Ovis aries: one gene and its partners. The protein of the gene in region 3 binds, or shares a complex with, the protein of the main gene of each other region. Links are inferred from orthologs where the notes say so. Each region holds a gene or a part of one and is shown on either strand. Other genes may lie near its edges.

The links. Proteins that work in one complex are often made in the same cells at the same time.
Region 1: the proteins of KLHL3 (region 3) and WNK3 are in contact, whole or in part, in a crystal structure (PDB 5NKP), measured with the Homo sapiens proteins. The link is inferred for Ovis aries from reciprocal best matches to the Homo sapiens genes KLHL3 and WNK3. Residues at the interface, in NP_059111.2 of Homo sapiens: Lys312, Arg339, Phe355, Gly357, Arg360, Thr386, Phe402, Gly404, Ser405, Gly407, Ser432, Ser433, Tyr449, Gly451, Arg454, Cys456, Ser481, His498, Arg528, Tyr577; in NP_065973.2 of Homo sapiens: Glu537, Cys538, Glu539, Glu540, Thr541, Glu542, Val543, Asp544, Gln545, His546.
Region 2: the proteins of KLHL3 (region 3) and CUL3 are in contact, whole or in part, in a crystal structure (PDB 4HXI), measured with the Homo sapiens proteins. The link is inferred for Ovis aries from reciprocal best matches to the Homo sapiens genes KLHL3 and CUL3. Residues at the interface, in NP_059111.2 of Homo sapiens: Pro73, Tyr74, Ala77, Met78, Asp82, Met83, Ser84, Glu85, Glu92, Ile93, Lys94, Asp95, Pro125, Ser128, Leu129, Gln131, Met133, Arg136, Asp160, Val161, His162, Thr163, Thr165; in NP_003581.1 of Homo sapiens: Ile44, Asn49, Ser50, Gly51, Leu52, Ser53, Phe54, Glu55, Leu57, Tyr58, Arg59, Tyr62, Thr63, Leu66, Lys68, Met118, Asp121, Ile122, Met124, Tyr125, Arg128, Val129, Gln133.

What each region holds. Positions count from the first base shown.
Region 1 is NC_056080.1:52,394,401-52,398,937, forward strand, and holds the start of WNK3 (serine/threonine-protein kinase WNK3), read right to left. Parts: upstream 3,043-4,537; 5' UTR 2,853-3,042; exon of another isoform or gene 2,721-2,852; intron 2,232-2,720; exon of another isoform or gene 2,048-2,231; intron 1-2,047.
Region 2 is NC_056055.1:226,744,462-226,748,924, reverse strand, and holds the start of CUL3 (cullin-3), read left to right. Parts: upstream 1-1,421; 5' UTR 1,422-1,707; coding exon 1,708-1,773; intron 1,774-4,463. UniProt on the Homo sapiens protein: Core component of multiple cullin-RING-based BCR (BTB-CUL3-RBX1) E3 ubiquitin-protein ligase complexes which mediate the ubiquitination and subsequent proteasomal degradation of target proteins.
Region 3 is NC_056058.1:46,717,760-46,721,666, reverse strand, and holds part of KLHL3 (kelch-like protein 3), read left to right. Parts: intron 1-2,990; coding exon 2,991-3,119; intron 3,120-3,907. UniProt on the Homo sapiens protein: Substrate-specific adapter of a BCR (BTB-CUL3-RBX1) E3 ubiquitin ligase complex that acts as a regulator of ion transport in the distal nephron.

The DNA.
Region 1 (4,537 bases), on a different chromosome or scaffold from region 3:
AATATGTACAAGGTGTGATAGGACCACTAAAGAGGGGCTGATGGAGGATGCTGGGAAAAGGAAAAATGGGGGAGCAGGAAAGGCTTTCATGAATAATGACAGAGCTAAGTATAAAAAGAATGAATTAAAATTTAATGGGAGGGAGAGAGAGAATTCCAGATTTGGGGGGGCAGGGGGCGGGATCAGAAGCAAAGCCAGAGAGATGAACACCACAAATCTGCTTATGCTATTCACTCCTTGGTAAATAGTCAAAGGCTCCTAACTCTGCAGGGTAGTCCTTCACTCCAGCCTCAACCTGAGATTCCAGCCTTATCTCATTCCATTCTCCAAATATACCATGCTTACACTCTCCTGCCTCAATACTTGAATGTTCTTCCACTCCAAGAACATCTAGTTTGAAATTGGGAGACCAGCTTGCCTGCTAGAGTTGGTGCAACATTTCCAGACTTTCATGGTGCTTTTATACTTTTATTCTACTGCTTAGTATACTAAGTATTCATTTAATCAAAGAGAATATGAACGAAGTATTAACTTTTTAAACTCTGGGTAGCCAAAACAAGGATTACACTCTTTCCAACATCAAAGCAGAATAAAAGAAAAAGAGCATGGGAAAGTTCTCAAATTTGCAACATTTCCAAGATAAATGAATATGTCATTAAAGTTTGTAAAAAGTAAGCATGAAAAGTTAGAAACCCATAAACTATTAATCTTGACCCAGAACAGAATGAGACCATCACAAGACATCCTTACCAGAAGATATGAATTTAGAGAACAGCATGTCCAAGTAATCTGCAGTGATTTAAACTCACGCCAAAAAGTGTCAATTTTCAAACAAGGTAAATTCAGATTAATGGAAAAAATCACATATAATTATTTGAGCATTCAAAATCAGTATTTTAGCTATCCTTTAATGCAAGGTATCTTTCCTTTGGAGTGCTGACTTTAAAACAATTTTTAAATTCATCAACCCAAATGATAGAGACTGTCTAGAAGACACCTACTGTTTTGTTGTCATATATGGAGACCTCTTTAAAGTTCTCTTGGTATTACAGTTTACTACAGATGAAAAACAGGTAACAATGCCTCCCCAAATTGAGTGCAATCATCACTATACAGATGATTTCCACAACTTAAAGGCTATTTATCATACAATTGCTTCAGTCCACAGTAACTCTTAAGAAGTAATAGCCATACCACTTGCATCTGTTTTGAGGGTTCAATCTCTTTTTAACAAGGTCTATCAACTCTCAAGATAGGGAGATACACACGTGCAGGATATCCACCCACAACCCACTACATAAATGTTTCACCGTTCTTAACTAGACAAACAAAACCTCCTACAGTACAGTACACCACTTTCATACTAACCTCACCATACCATCTCCTTCCCATCCGATCAGTCACAGAACACACCGTTCCCAAATAACACCTCTCAATCTCCTTGAACCTAACCCATTAACACAACCAGCCAGCAGCATTCTTCACAAGGATACAGTCCTATCGACCTTCACACGTCAACCGAATCTCTAAATTAAATTCACTTTCCCTCATACACTGAAACTCAACTTCCAAAACCCGACGCGATCCTCGCTTTCAATCTCACTTAAATGATCACTCAGTTTTTTGTCAACCGTCACCCGGTCCCCTCACGTAACCGCCTCACCTTACCCCCCATCCCCTAGTCTCCCATCAACTCCCAAAGTTGCCACTCCTCAACGAAAATGACACACAAAAAAATGTACCTCAAACCTGCCCTTCCCCACTTTCCCCCTCCGAATTTTCCTCTCAGCCTGTTGGCTCACACCGAAAACAGCTCCGACAACTCTTAACGACCCGAGCCGGGCCTCGTCCCACACGTCTCGGCGACTGCAATCACCCTGCCTCGGTCAAACCGCCCCCCACTAACGCGCTTACTCTGAACAGACTCTTGGTCGCCGCTGCCTCCCCTCCATTCATCCCCAGCCCATTCATCTCTCAGCCGGATCCCAGACACGCCCCCCGGCCTCCTCCCTCACTCCCACCGTCCCGGCCGGCTCGGGACCCTCACCAGATTAGAGGCTCTCGCTGAGGGAGACTCTTTGCTTCTCCCTCGCCCTCTTTCAAGCCTCCGCTCGCCCCTCGAGTAGCCACACCATAAAACATGCAGATACACACACACCGCCTCCTCTGTCGCCTCCTCAGATGCTTCTTACTCCCCTCCTAGATGTCTCGCGCTCCGCTCCGCGTTGTGTGCGCGTGCGCGCGCGAGCGTCTCAGCGCGAGCCCACCCGGCCAGCTACCGCCGGTAGGTAAAGAGAGGGCGGGGTTAAGGGAGCGGGGTACGAGCCCAAGCTCGCGCTTGCCCGGGAGCTGAGCAGGCGCACGCGTACTCCTGTCAGGGAATTCAGATAGAGGGGGACGGAAGGGGGCGAGGAAGGGAGGGGAAGAAAGGAGGGGGGAGGGGCTGAGAAAGCAGACGGAGCAGCCCCAACTCTGAACTGCCCCTATCGCAGCGAGGTGCCGAGTGGCTACCCAACTAGAGCGTGCGCACTCCTCTCCCACTCTCCTCAGCACAGTGGGAGAGAGGGATGTTCGTCAAGAGAAAGGCTTCGCTCTTTTCCAAAAAGAAAATATGTGGGGAGCCACGCGTGACATCTGTGTGTTCAAAAGCTCTCCACGGCTGCTTTACCCTCTTCCCTTCAAAAGAAAACCCAAGCACACACTTCTTCCTAGATACCCACCGCCCATTCTCAGTTCTCTACATGCCTCTAAATGCGGTTGCTCGGCCGAGATGTGGTACTCGCCAGCATCTTTTCACCCGCCACCCCTAACTCCCTTTTTCCAACTCTCGACTTTTCTCGCGAGACCCATACCTGCCGGCTTCGGGATTAGAAGTCGAAGCACACATTTACAAATACCGGTCTCCCGATTACGCTGCGACGGCAATAGCCATAGCATGTCCCCCCTACCCTCCAGGACTGCAGTGCGCGCGCGCGGGGGCTGGGCAACCACGAAAGCAGGGATGGAAAAGGGAAGCTATGAAACGGATTTTTGACGGCATGTAACCGCTAGGCCTGGGCACGTGCCCTGCGCCTCGTGGGCGGGTGCGGTGTACCCTGGGAATTGTAGTTTTTGTTCCCACCTCCAGTCCCACTCCCACCTCAGCCTTACTTAGGCCTCTGTCCAAGAGGGGGATTGCCGACACCATTTTGCCGGGAACAATGGCCCTCGGCCGAGGCAGCGGAGGGTGGGGGAGGGAATAATGTTTTAAGGGCTCAGTTAACCTCCCCTGGCCCCTCGGTGCCATAGCAACCCCTCAGAAACCTGGCCACTCCCCCTCGCTGCTCCGCCGGGCTCCAAGATTGCGCGCATGCGAAAAGGTCACCTCCCCCTGTGGCTGGCTCTCACCGTCTCCTGCAGTCCACCTCCCAGATTCACTAGTTAGTTGTTAGTGACTGCTACCTTCTTTGAGCTTTCACAGCAGGTTAACCTCCACGCAGTGACTTTATCTAAGAACTGCTTCCTGCACTGTATCAAGTGCAATACAGAATTGTTTCTATCACTCTCACGTGAGCAATCCTGACTCTCCAGAGGAGGAAACTGAGGCTTGGGGGGAGGGGGGGGAATGGACATGACTTGCTCAAGTTCTCATAACTATGTATGGAAGAGTCAGATCTTTAACCCAGGTGTGTTCACTCCAGAGCCCATGAAATTTTCAATCCCTCAGGTTGCATCTGGTATCAGAGACCCTGAAGAAAACTCCTAAAGGGTGGTATTTCTTTCTGAATGCCCTTCAAGCTTTTAGCAGGATGCTCTGAGGGTAGGAGGCTGTGTGCAAAATGCCAGGCTAATATTTTCAAATGCCCAACCTCGGGGCCCCATCACAGAGCTGTACTAATCTCTCCTTTCCACCATTTTCTTTTTCGCCCTGTACACCTCAGAACCTCAGCCTTTCTCAGCTCTTAAAAAGAATCAATAAATTTAACTGAGGTTTCCGAAGTCCAAAGGGAGTGGAATGATGGGAGACCTTGAAGCCCTTGTTTCTTGTCTTTGCACCTTTCATCTTGAAGGTCACTTATTAATCCTAGTATTGCCAGAAAATACAAGGAAACCAGACCCGTGTGTGCCCTTAATAAATCTACCCCCTTTCCATTTTTGACAAGTGAGGGAGACACTGAGGAACTAAATTCAGGACTATGAGGTTCAGCTATTCCACCTGTAGCTAAAATTGAAAGAGCAAGATGTAATTTTTTCAAATAGTGCAACTACCTTACCTGAAAGGTCTCTGTATTCCAAATTAGCTGCAGAACGGATGGGGTCTCCCAAACTGTCTTCCCTCACTGTCCCTGAAGATAGTTCCTTTTCCCTGCTGAATCCCAGGTGGCGCTAGTGGTAAGAACCTGCCTGCCAATGCAGGATACATAAGACGCGGGTCGCTGGGCACGGCAACCCACTCCAGTATTCTTGCCTGGAGAATCCCATGAACAGAGGAGCCGGACGGGCTATAGTCCATAGGGTCGCACAGAGTCAGGCACGACTGAAGTGGCTTAGCACACAC
Region 2 (4,463 bases), on a different chromosome or scaffold from region 3:
AATTTAGGGAAAATCCAACCTTACAGTGAACAAATCAAAAAGGTATATTCCAGTTCATTTATCAAAAAATAGAAAATAAAACCCCCCAGCTTCCAAATATTTAAAAAGAATTAAACTTCAGCTTAAAAGAAGGCATTAAGAATAAAATTTAAAAGTATTAACATTCTATTAATATTCATTCCAACAATAGGTTCTTACTTAAAAATGATATCACAAACTTTAGTGGGAACTCACATATTCCTCTGCAGTCAGAAATCCAACTATAACAATACAAAGAGGTAAATTAGGGTGTAAAATTCATAATGAAAAGCAAAACTGATGAATCAAACTAGACTTTTTGAATGCAATGCCAAACTTTTATTCCCTCAAATTATCAGCAAACTGAAAAGAAAGACAAAAATTTTGGCTTTCAAAATGTATCATACTCTTAAAATGACTTGGCAGGTTAAGGTTAGGTTTCCATTATTCTATTTTCTATTTAACACCATTTACCAAAATATTGCACTGAGTTAAGGGAGTTGTTATTTCAAAGGCAACGAAACACAAATTTTAATACTAGTAAGTTCTAGGTCTCTCAGACAACAGTGAATCAGTTTAAGGAAATTTTACGGATTTCCACCCCTCAATCTTGACAGCTGGAGTGTGCACATCCAATCCGAATACCTTGTTAGGCATACAGGACTCTACTTTCTGACACTGCATATATTAATAACTCCTGCACAAACTCTTCTTTCAACTTTCTGGCTTCTGGTCAAGTACCCATCCCTAGTCCACCTGCCCTAGAAAAACACAGGAACCAGTTTCAGGACGTGGTTATCCACCTAGCACCCTACGCTCCACCCCGAGACTACCCTCCTCTCGCTCTAGCCCAGCCCAGCCAAGCGGAGCCGAGCACTGCCTGCTACAGTCCGGCTCCGGCTCTCGGAACTTCCCCTGCCCACTCCGTCCACGTGAACAAGACCCCGCCCCCTCGCCCGGCGCTCCACCAATCAGCAGCCCCCTCACCCAGGATCCGGTCTTCAACGCTCCTCTTTCAAAAAGTCAGCTCACTCCTCCCGCCTCAGTCCCGCCCCTTTCCTACCTCTCCGCCCCGCTGGCCCACCTTCCCAAATCCCCGTTCCCTTCCTCCTCTCCCGTTGCCCCCTCCCGCTCGCAGGCTTCGCCCCGCCCCACCCGGGAAAGCGCGCTCGCCCTCTTCTCGCGAGATTTGAGCGTCCCCCTCCTCCTGCCGCGGCCGCCCGCCTCCCCCTTCTGTCCTCCCCCCCTCCCCCCAATCTCTCCACTCTCCGGCTCTCCTCCCTCCCTCCTCCCCCCTCCACCCTCTGGGCCGGATCTCGTCTCGCTGAGGCGGAGGAGGAGAAGGAGGAGGAGGAGGACGTTCGGCCTGCGCAGTGAGATGTTTGTCCGTCGCCGCCGCCGCCGCCATCGCGGAGGAGCGCGATAAAGGGAGCCGAGCCGGGCGTGAGGGGGACCCCGCGGAGCCGCCGCGCCAGCGCAGTCCCCCAGCCGAGCCCGAGCCGCCGGAGACCGAGCCGCCGCTGCCCCCGCCGCGGCCGCCCAGGGGCCGGCCAGCTCCCCAGCCCAGCCCGGGGGCCGCGCCGCCGCCGCCGCCCCCAGCGTCGCCCCTCGCCTGCCCGCCCGCCTTAAATGTGACACCGGCGCCTCGGAGTGCGACCTGAAGCCGCCGCCGGGGAGGGGACGAGCACCATGTCGAATCTGAGCAAAGGCACGGGCAGCCGGAAGGACACCAAGATGCGGATCCGGGCCTTTCCGGTGAGTCTCTTCTCGGCGCCTGGGACCCCGGGTCGGGGGGCCCGGCCGACAGCCGCACGCGAGGCCCGGGCTGAACTCCCCCCCAACAGGCCGCAGGCCCGGCCTCCCATCCCCCACGCCGCCGGCCGCGGGGCGCGAGCCTTCCCGGCAACGGGGCGGCGCGGGGCCCCGGCGCGGCCACCCTCCGGGGCCGTTCCCCGCGCCCCCGGCATCCGAGGCCGGCGCCGCGCCCCCGCCCAGGAGCTGCGCCTCCGGTCGCCCCGCGGGCGTCGGCTGCGGCCGGGGCCCCTCGGCCGGTCCCGGCACCTCGCCGCGCTCCTGGGGTGTAGGCCCAACCCCTAGCACCCCGCTTCTGCTCGGTCCCCGGGACTCCCAGCCCTGCAGGGATGGGGATCGTCTACGTCCTCCTGGTGTGGGGCGTGTGTGTAACTTTTCACGTGAGGTTTCGCAGCAGTTGAAAAAAAATCACCATGCCTAAAGGATGGCCTGCTAAAAGATGCCGGGGACGGACCTCTCCCGATCTTCCCCTCCCCAGGAAGGGCTCTGCCGTCCACCTACCCTCTACGCGGTGACAGACGTTCCGCGTAATGCTCTGTAGTAATACACTAACAACGTCGGTGTGTTTACAGAATCTTTCATCCGCAACCTTCCAATGCACTTTACAAACTCTCCTGTGCAGGAATGGCCTAGCCACTCAAGGGGAAGTAAGACAAAACAAATGAGACGATTGGTTCTTCATTTCCTAGCCACGGAAGCCCAAAAGAATAAGTAGTCACCACCGTGAGTTGCTTTACTCTAGGTTTTAGTGACAGCAAAAGTATTTTTGTTTAGAAACTTTTTTGGCCTTAAATTAAGTCATACCCCTGCGGTGTTTAGTATTATATGGTATAACTTTGGATGTCGTATCTGAATCAGATAGCCAGTGGCAAGCAATTAGAGTGTACTCTTGGGACAGAGAAACTGGACATACTTGCTCATGTCGCTTCTGTAACAGGTAGACGTCAAGGTGGACAAACTAGCAATTGAATAGAAGATTTTAAACCAGGAAAACTATAGAGAAGAAGCTGTGGTTTCCTGTCTTAGAATCACAAGCACGTTATATTGAGTGGTGGGGGGCGGTGAAGAGGGTTTGTATTCACTTCTTAAAGCATGCTTTTTCTAAAGTACAGTTTGCACTTTAGAGGAAAAATTAATATAATTGTCCTAGTTGAGTAAGAAACCGACCTAGAGAACTTGAGGACCTCCCTGAATTCTTAAAATTTAGAAGGAAAAAATACACCTGATGCAGAATTCCCAGATGGTAATAAAAATGTTAATACCTATGTGAAGACTCTTCGGACTTTATGTAAATAAAGATAGGATATAATCAGGAGAATTAGATGTTTTAATGCACATTAAAGGGATTTTGAATTTCGGAAGTTTTTTCCCTAAGTAATCGTGAGAAAGTACAAAGAAAGTAACAAGTGTTGACAGAAGAGCACTAATGAAGTTCACTTGCACGTTTTTCTTTATAAACAGTGAACTGGGTTTATGAATTTGTGAGTAGTGATAGTTTTCCTACTGAATCAGTTCCTATTAAATAAGCAGAATCTAGAATTATTCAGAATTTCAAATAGTTTTATACATTTTTAAGAGAAGTTTGCTATTCTTGAAGTCTGACTTCTAATACAGATTATTGTTAAAAGGTGGAATAGCTCACATTTGACATCAACTCACTGTTGTGGATATTCTGATTAATCAGCTTTATCTTTATCTATGTGTAATCAACTCTTTGATCTCTTGGTTTGCCTGTCCCTACCTGTTTTTCCACTCCTTCATTCTTTTAGGAAATACTGAGGACTGTGTGCCAGGTACTGTTCTGGGGTCTTGGGATGTATCAGTATAGCTTCAGAGAACAATATCCCTCCTTTCTGGATCTTGTATTGTTGGGAAGAAGCTGTGGGAGAGAATTTTGTTCTTTTAGCTAAAGAGTATCAGAGTGTGTGACAGGTTACCACACAGCACTGAAGCTGACTTTTTTTTTCAGGCGCATTATGATAATGAACTAATTCAGACCTTTTCTTATCTGTAATTTGTTGCCCTCTTAAGTTTCTCTAAAATCCTTAAATGAAGTTTGCAAGTAGCTAGTGTTTGATATTCAGTACTTAGTATCTGCTAATTTTTAAAAATGTCTGAGAGTTTTAAATTTTCTCATGGGTATTAACATCACTCATGAGTAGTTCCTACAGTGAGAACCATTGCATTTTTTAAATATATAAATGTAAAAATCATAGTTCTTTGAACTTTCATTAAGGATGGCTACATAAAACCTCAGTGGTGTGATTTCAGTGATTTATTTGGTAAATGAATACTTAAGAGTTTCAGAATTTTTTTTCCTTCCAGGTTAGCAGTCATTTACCTAACTGTAGTCTGCATGGATTGCAAGTCAGAAGTAATAAATGCCTGTTATTCCATGAAGAAAATATTTTGTGTGTATTCATGTGTGCACACTTAAAACTACTGTATTTTACGATTTGAGATAAACAACTACTCTAAGGGAAATTGTAGTGTAAGCAGAGGCCTCAAATACTCCTTTCAGAGTGTTTTATAAAACTGATCTGTGAAAAAGTATAAAAATATGTTTGAAGATTGTTTTGTTATCTTTACAAAATAGTAAGTGATGGTACAGGATATTTTGTAAATGTGTAAAC
Region 3 (3,907 bases):
TGGGCTCTCGTTTTGGCTATTTATCTATATCACAAGATGGGAAGTCCAGAGTCAAGATATAACCCAGGAATACAGTGTGTTTGGGAGGGTGAGAGTCAGTTGTTTAATCAGTTTTGTCCTCATATTTTATGTCGAGGATTGTCAGCAGAGCCCTGAGTGAGGTGGGTGACTTTCCCCAGTTGTGATTAGTCTGGAGGGAAGGTTGGTGCTGGGTCCTGCTCAGTCAGGAATGATGCGTGTGGTGAGGTAGGAAGAGGGGTGTGGTCTGGGGCCTGGCTGGACAGCGCACTGGAGCGCCAAGCGCCTTCATATCCAGTTTCTCGTTTTGTTCCTAAAACTCTCTCGAAGGAGAAGGGCAGGACTTGGATTTCCTCTACTCTTCAGAAGGGGAAGCTGAGTCCCAAAGGAGTAATCAGTGTGCCTGTCCCACACTGGAAAAGAGCACAGTCACTCCTTGAACCCAGGTCTCCAGGTTCTAACTCAGACCATTGGCAAATGTTATTAATAACTGAGAGGAGTTTTAGAAATATATATGACTTCAACATATTAAACCATAGAGTATTATTTGTACTCAACTGCTATACTTCACAGGACAACACTGACTTATTAGCCTGTCCTGAAGTGGGAATTTAGTGGAGAATCTGTGCATTCACACAGGTACACAGGCATTTTCTCTTTCTCACGTGTACACACAGCTCACACGAGTGCTTCGGGGAGAGTGTTGGGCAGGGAGTTAGACATTAATAGGAATGTAATTTTCTCTTGCTGCATCTCTTGGTCTGTACCAGTATTACATAGTTTAAATTTTAATTTAAAAGTATATTGTTCTAACACACAGAACAAGTCACCTTAGTGAGTGCAAGGATTTTGTCCTCCTACCAAGATAAATTGCTTCTTGCAATCTCATCCTCCTGGTGAAACAGAAATTGATTTGTCTGCCAAGCATAAGTGCTTTGTCTAGCCACCTTCCCATTTCCCCCCTTGCTCCTTAGTCAGGAATATCAAACAATAGTGTAGGGGTTAAAAATAGCGTATCCCTGAAAGGAGAAACCTTGAATGGGTATTTTTTCAGCTGACATAGGGTTGAGATGGTTGATGGGAGTTAGAGGAGATGCCTTCATGGCGCTCATCAGAAATATTCCCCCTGACCCCCTTGACAGAGGCTTCTGTAAGCATGTTCTGCATGGCAGAAGTGCTGTGCGGTAGCACACCCTGTCAACACGGAGGACAGACTGGGGGTTTATTTATCTTCTCCATCCTGAATCTGAAGCTATTTCGGCTGCCGCCTCCCTCTCCTCATCTCCTTACCACGACATCACAGCCTGACTGACAACTGGGGACAAAAACAGGAAAACCAGGATCTTTAGCTACCAGCTGTCCTGAAGAATCTCTACGTAGAAAAAGGGACAGTGAGGCTGAGAGATGAGGCAGAAGCTCCCAACAGAGCAGAGATGGTGTATTTTAGAGACTGGGATTGCCCTCAGGAGCGTCTTGTCTCCTCCACACCGCTGGCCTGTCTCCTCCCTTGTGATGGATAACTGGCCAGGCAGGTGGTTACCTCTGAGCCAGCACACACTCCAAGAGTAGCTTGGGTCCTGGGGGAGCCTGTCTGAATCAGGGTTTTGCTTTCTGTCTCAAGAGCCAAAGGGCCGGTTGAGAGGGCTCTTGAGGCAGAAAACAAAACCAGGCTCAGTGATAGAAGAAGAAATAATTTTACATTTGATGCAGTAAAGTCTTGATGGTAAAACATTGTTCTTAGCCTGAGAATCTCTTTCTGACTTAAAATAACTGCAGATTTTTCACATATTGGTTGCATTCTTGGTGTGTCTCCATTAAGAAAGTACATATTGACCAAAAAGAAATCTTTTGATTAGGTAACCTTTTAAGTAGATTTGCATCTGGTGGTATTTATTTAGCCTGCAGCTAGTATACATCCTTATTATACACTTATTACAGTGTAGATCCTTATTATAACTCCAGGGTCCCCCATAGAACTGAGACCTCGGATGAAGTAGGACCCCCACACCCAGCACACACACACACAGAATCCCACTGCATTCTAAGGCTACATGTTAAACCCAAATGTTCAAATCTCTCTGGGAGAGCTCAAATACCAGTTTCCTGCCCCTTGCCCAACCTCACCACCATCCTTAGGCCAAAATGATGCTCTTCGATAATAGCTTACAGTACTTTATTATAAAAATAGGTGATGGTCAGCAGAAAGTAATACAACATTGTAAAGCAATTATCCTTCAATTTTTTTTTTTAAAGTTTAACTTGAATGTAATCCAATAGATCAATATTTTTCTTTAGGATTGCACTTTTTGTTTTTGGTTAAATAAATCTTTGCCTATTCCAAGATAAAGAAAAAAAATAGATGATGGTACTCCGAGGTTCTTGTGCATGGCTCAGAAATTGTAAGGGGATCTTACAGCAGATCAATTCCAGCCACTCTAGCCCAGAGTGCACACAGAGCACTCCATTCACACGCTTTGCCTGCCTGGGTGGTGGATAGAGTACAAAACATGTTGAAGACAATGTTTGGGTTCCTGTTGGAGAATATCTTTCTATATTTGTTCTGTTTGCTGTTGTGAGCCTTTAGCCAGACAGTCTGCCAGCCTGGCTGCAGCAGGGGCCCTTAAATTTTCCATCTCCCTGGTGCCTTGTTCCAGAGAAGATCTAATATAGTTCACCAGTGAGAATATGTTGAGCCCTGGTGACGCCAGGCCATAGCTTTACACTGGGTGTTTGGGGTGCTTTTTGAGATAAAGCTTCTGTACTGCTTTGAGGAGGAGCCCAGGACTTCAGAGGAAGTAGGAGGCAGAATCATGAAGGATGCTTGCTCTGTTTGGTCTTCCTGGGGAAGGAGCCCTGAACCCCGATGGAGGTGAGGGTGTGCTGGTGGGTTACAGGCGGAATTTCAGCTACGCTCCAGTTTCATGCCAGGGTCCAAAACACCCTCCCACCCCTGGCCACTTTGTCTGTTCCAGGGAAGCTGTATGCTGTCGGGGGCTATGATGGGGCCTCTCGCCAGTGCCTGAGCACCGTGGAGCAGTACAACCCAGCGACCAATGAGTGGACATATGTGGCGGACATGAGCACTCGCCGCAGCGGCGCAGGTATGGGGTGGGGTAGGGAGTTGGGGTTCAGGGGGCAGGCCGTGTTTGTTCTCACCGGTGGGTCTGGAGGCCAAAAGCTTAACGTTCTACCTTATTTTCCCTCCCTCTTGTCTGCTTTCAGTGTATGTAATCCCACTCGCACCTTTGCAACGAGTTAACCTTTCTCAGGGGGATCCCTCTGTAGAGAACCAGTGGGATCATATTCCCTTCATTGTCATCTCTTCCATTTGTTTGGAGGTGTCCACATCTCTTGAAAGTGAAACTTGCTGTGTGCCGGGTGCTGTCCTAATAAGCACTTTCTATGTCTCATTTATGTTTAATCCTCATCACAGCCCTGCAGGGGTTCACCATATAGCTCACACCATGTAACTCCACTTAGCAGGTTTAGAAAGTGAGCCATCCAGGGGTTAATTAGCCCAAGGTCCTGTCATTCATCATTTTCATTAGTCACTGGCAGAATCAGGATTCCTACTCAGGTCTGTCTCCCTTCAAAGTTAGCTTTTTCTGACCTCAGATGATCTGAATCTCGTTCTTATGAAGTCCCAGTCTTCCCTGGAAAAGCTAAAGCTTGCCTGTCTTTGTCTTAGGGGGTCAAAAGTCAGGTTTGTATTTGGAGATAAACTGGTGTCTCTTCCCCAACTTTTCTTCACGTCAGCCCCCTCCTGGGGGAAGGGCAGGAGCTTTGGGATTTTCCAGGAAGTGGAGCAGCAGCCCCTTCTTCCCTGCTTTGTCTGCCCCATCACGTGGGGGCCCCGGGGAGAGGGTCTGGGAGGGCAGACGGAGGTGGT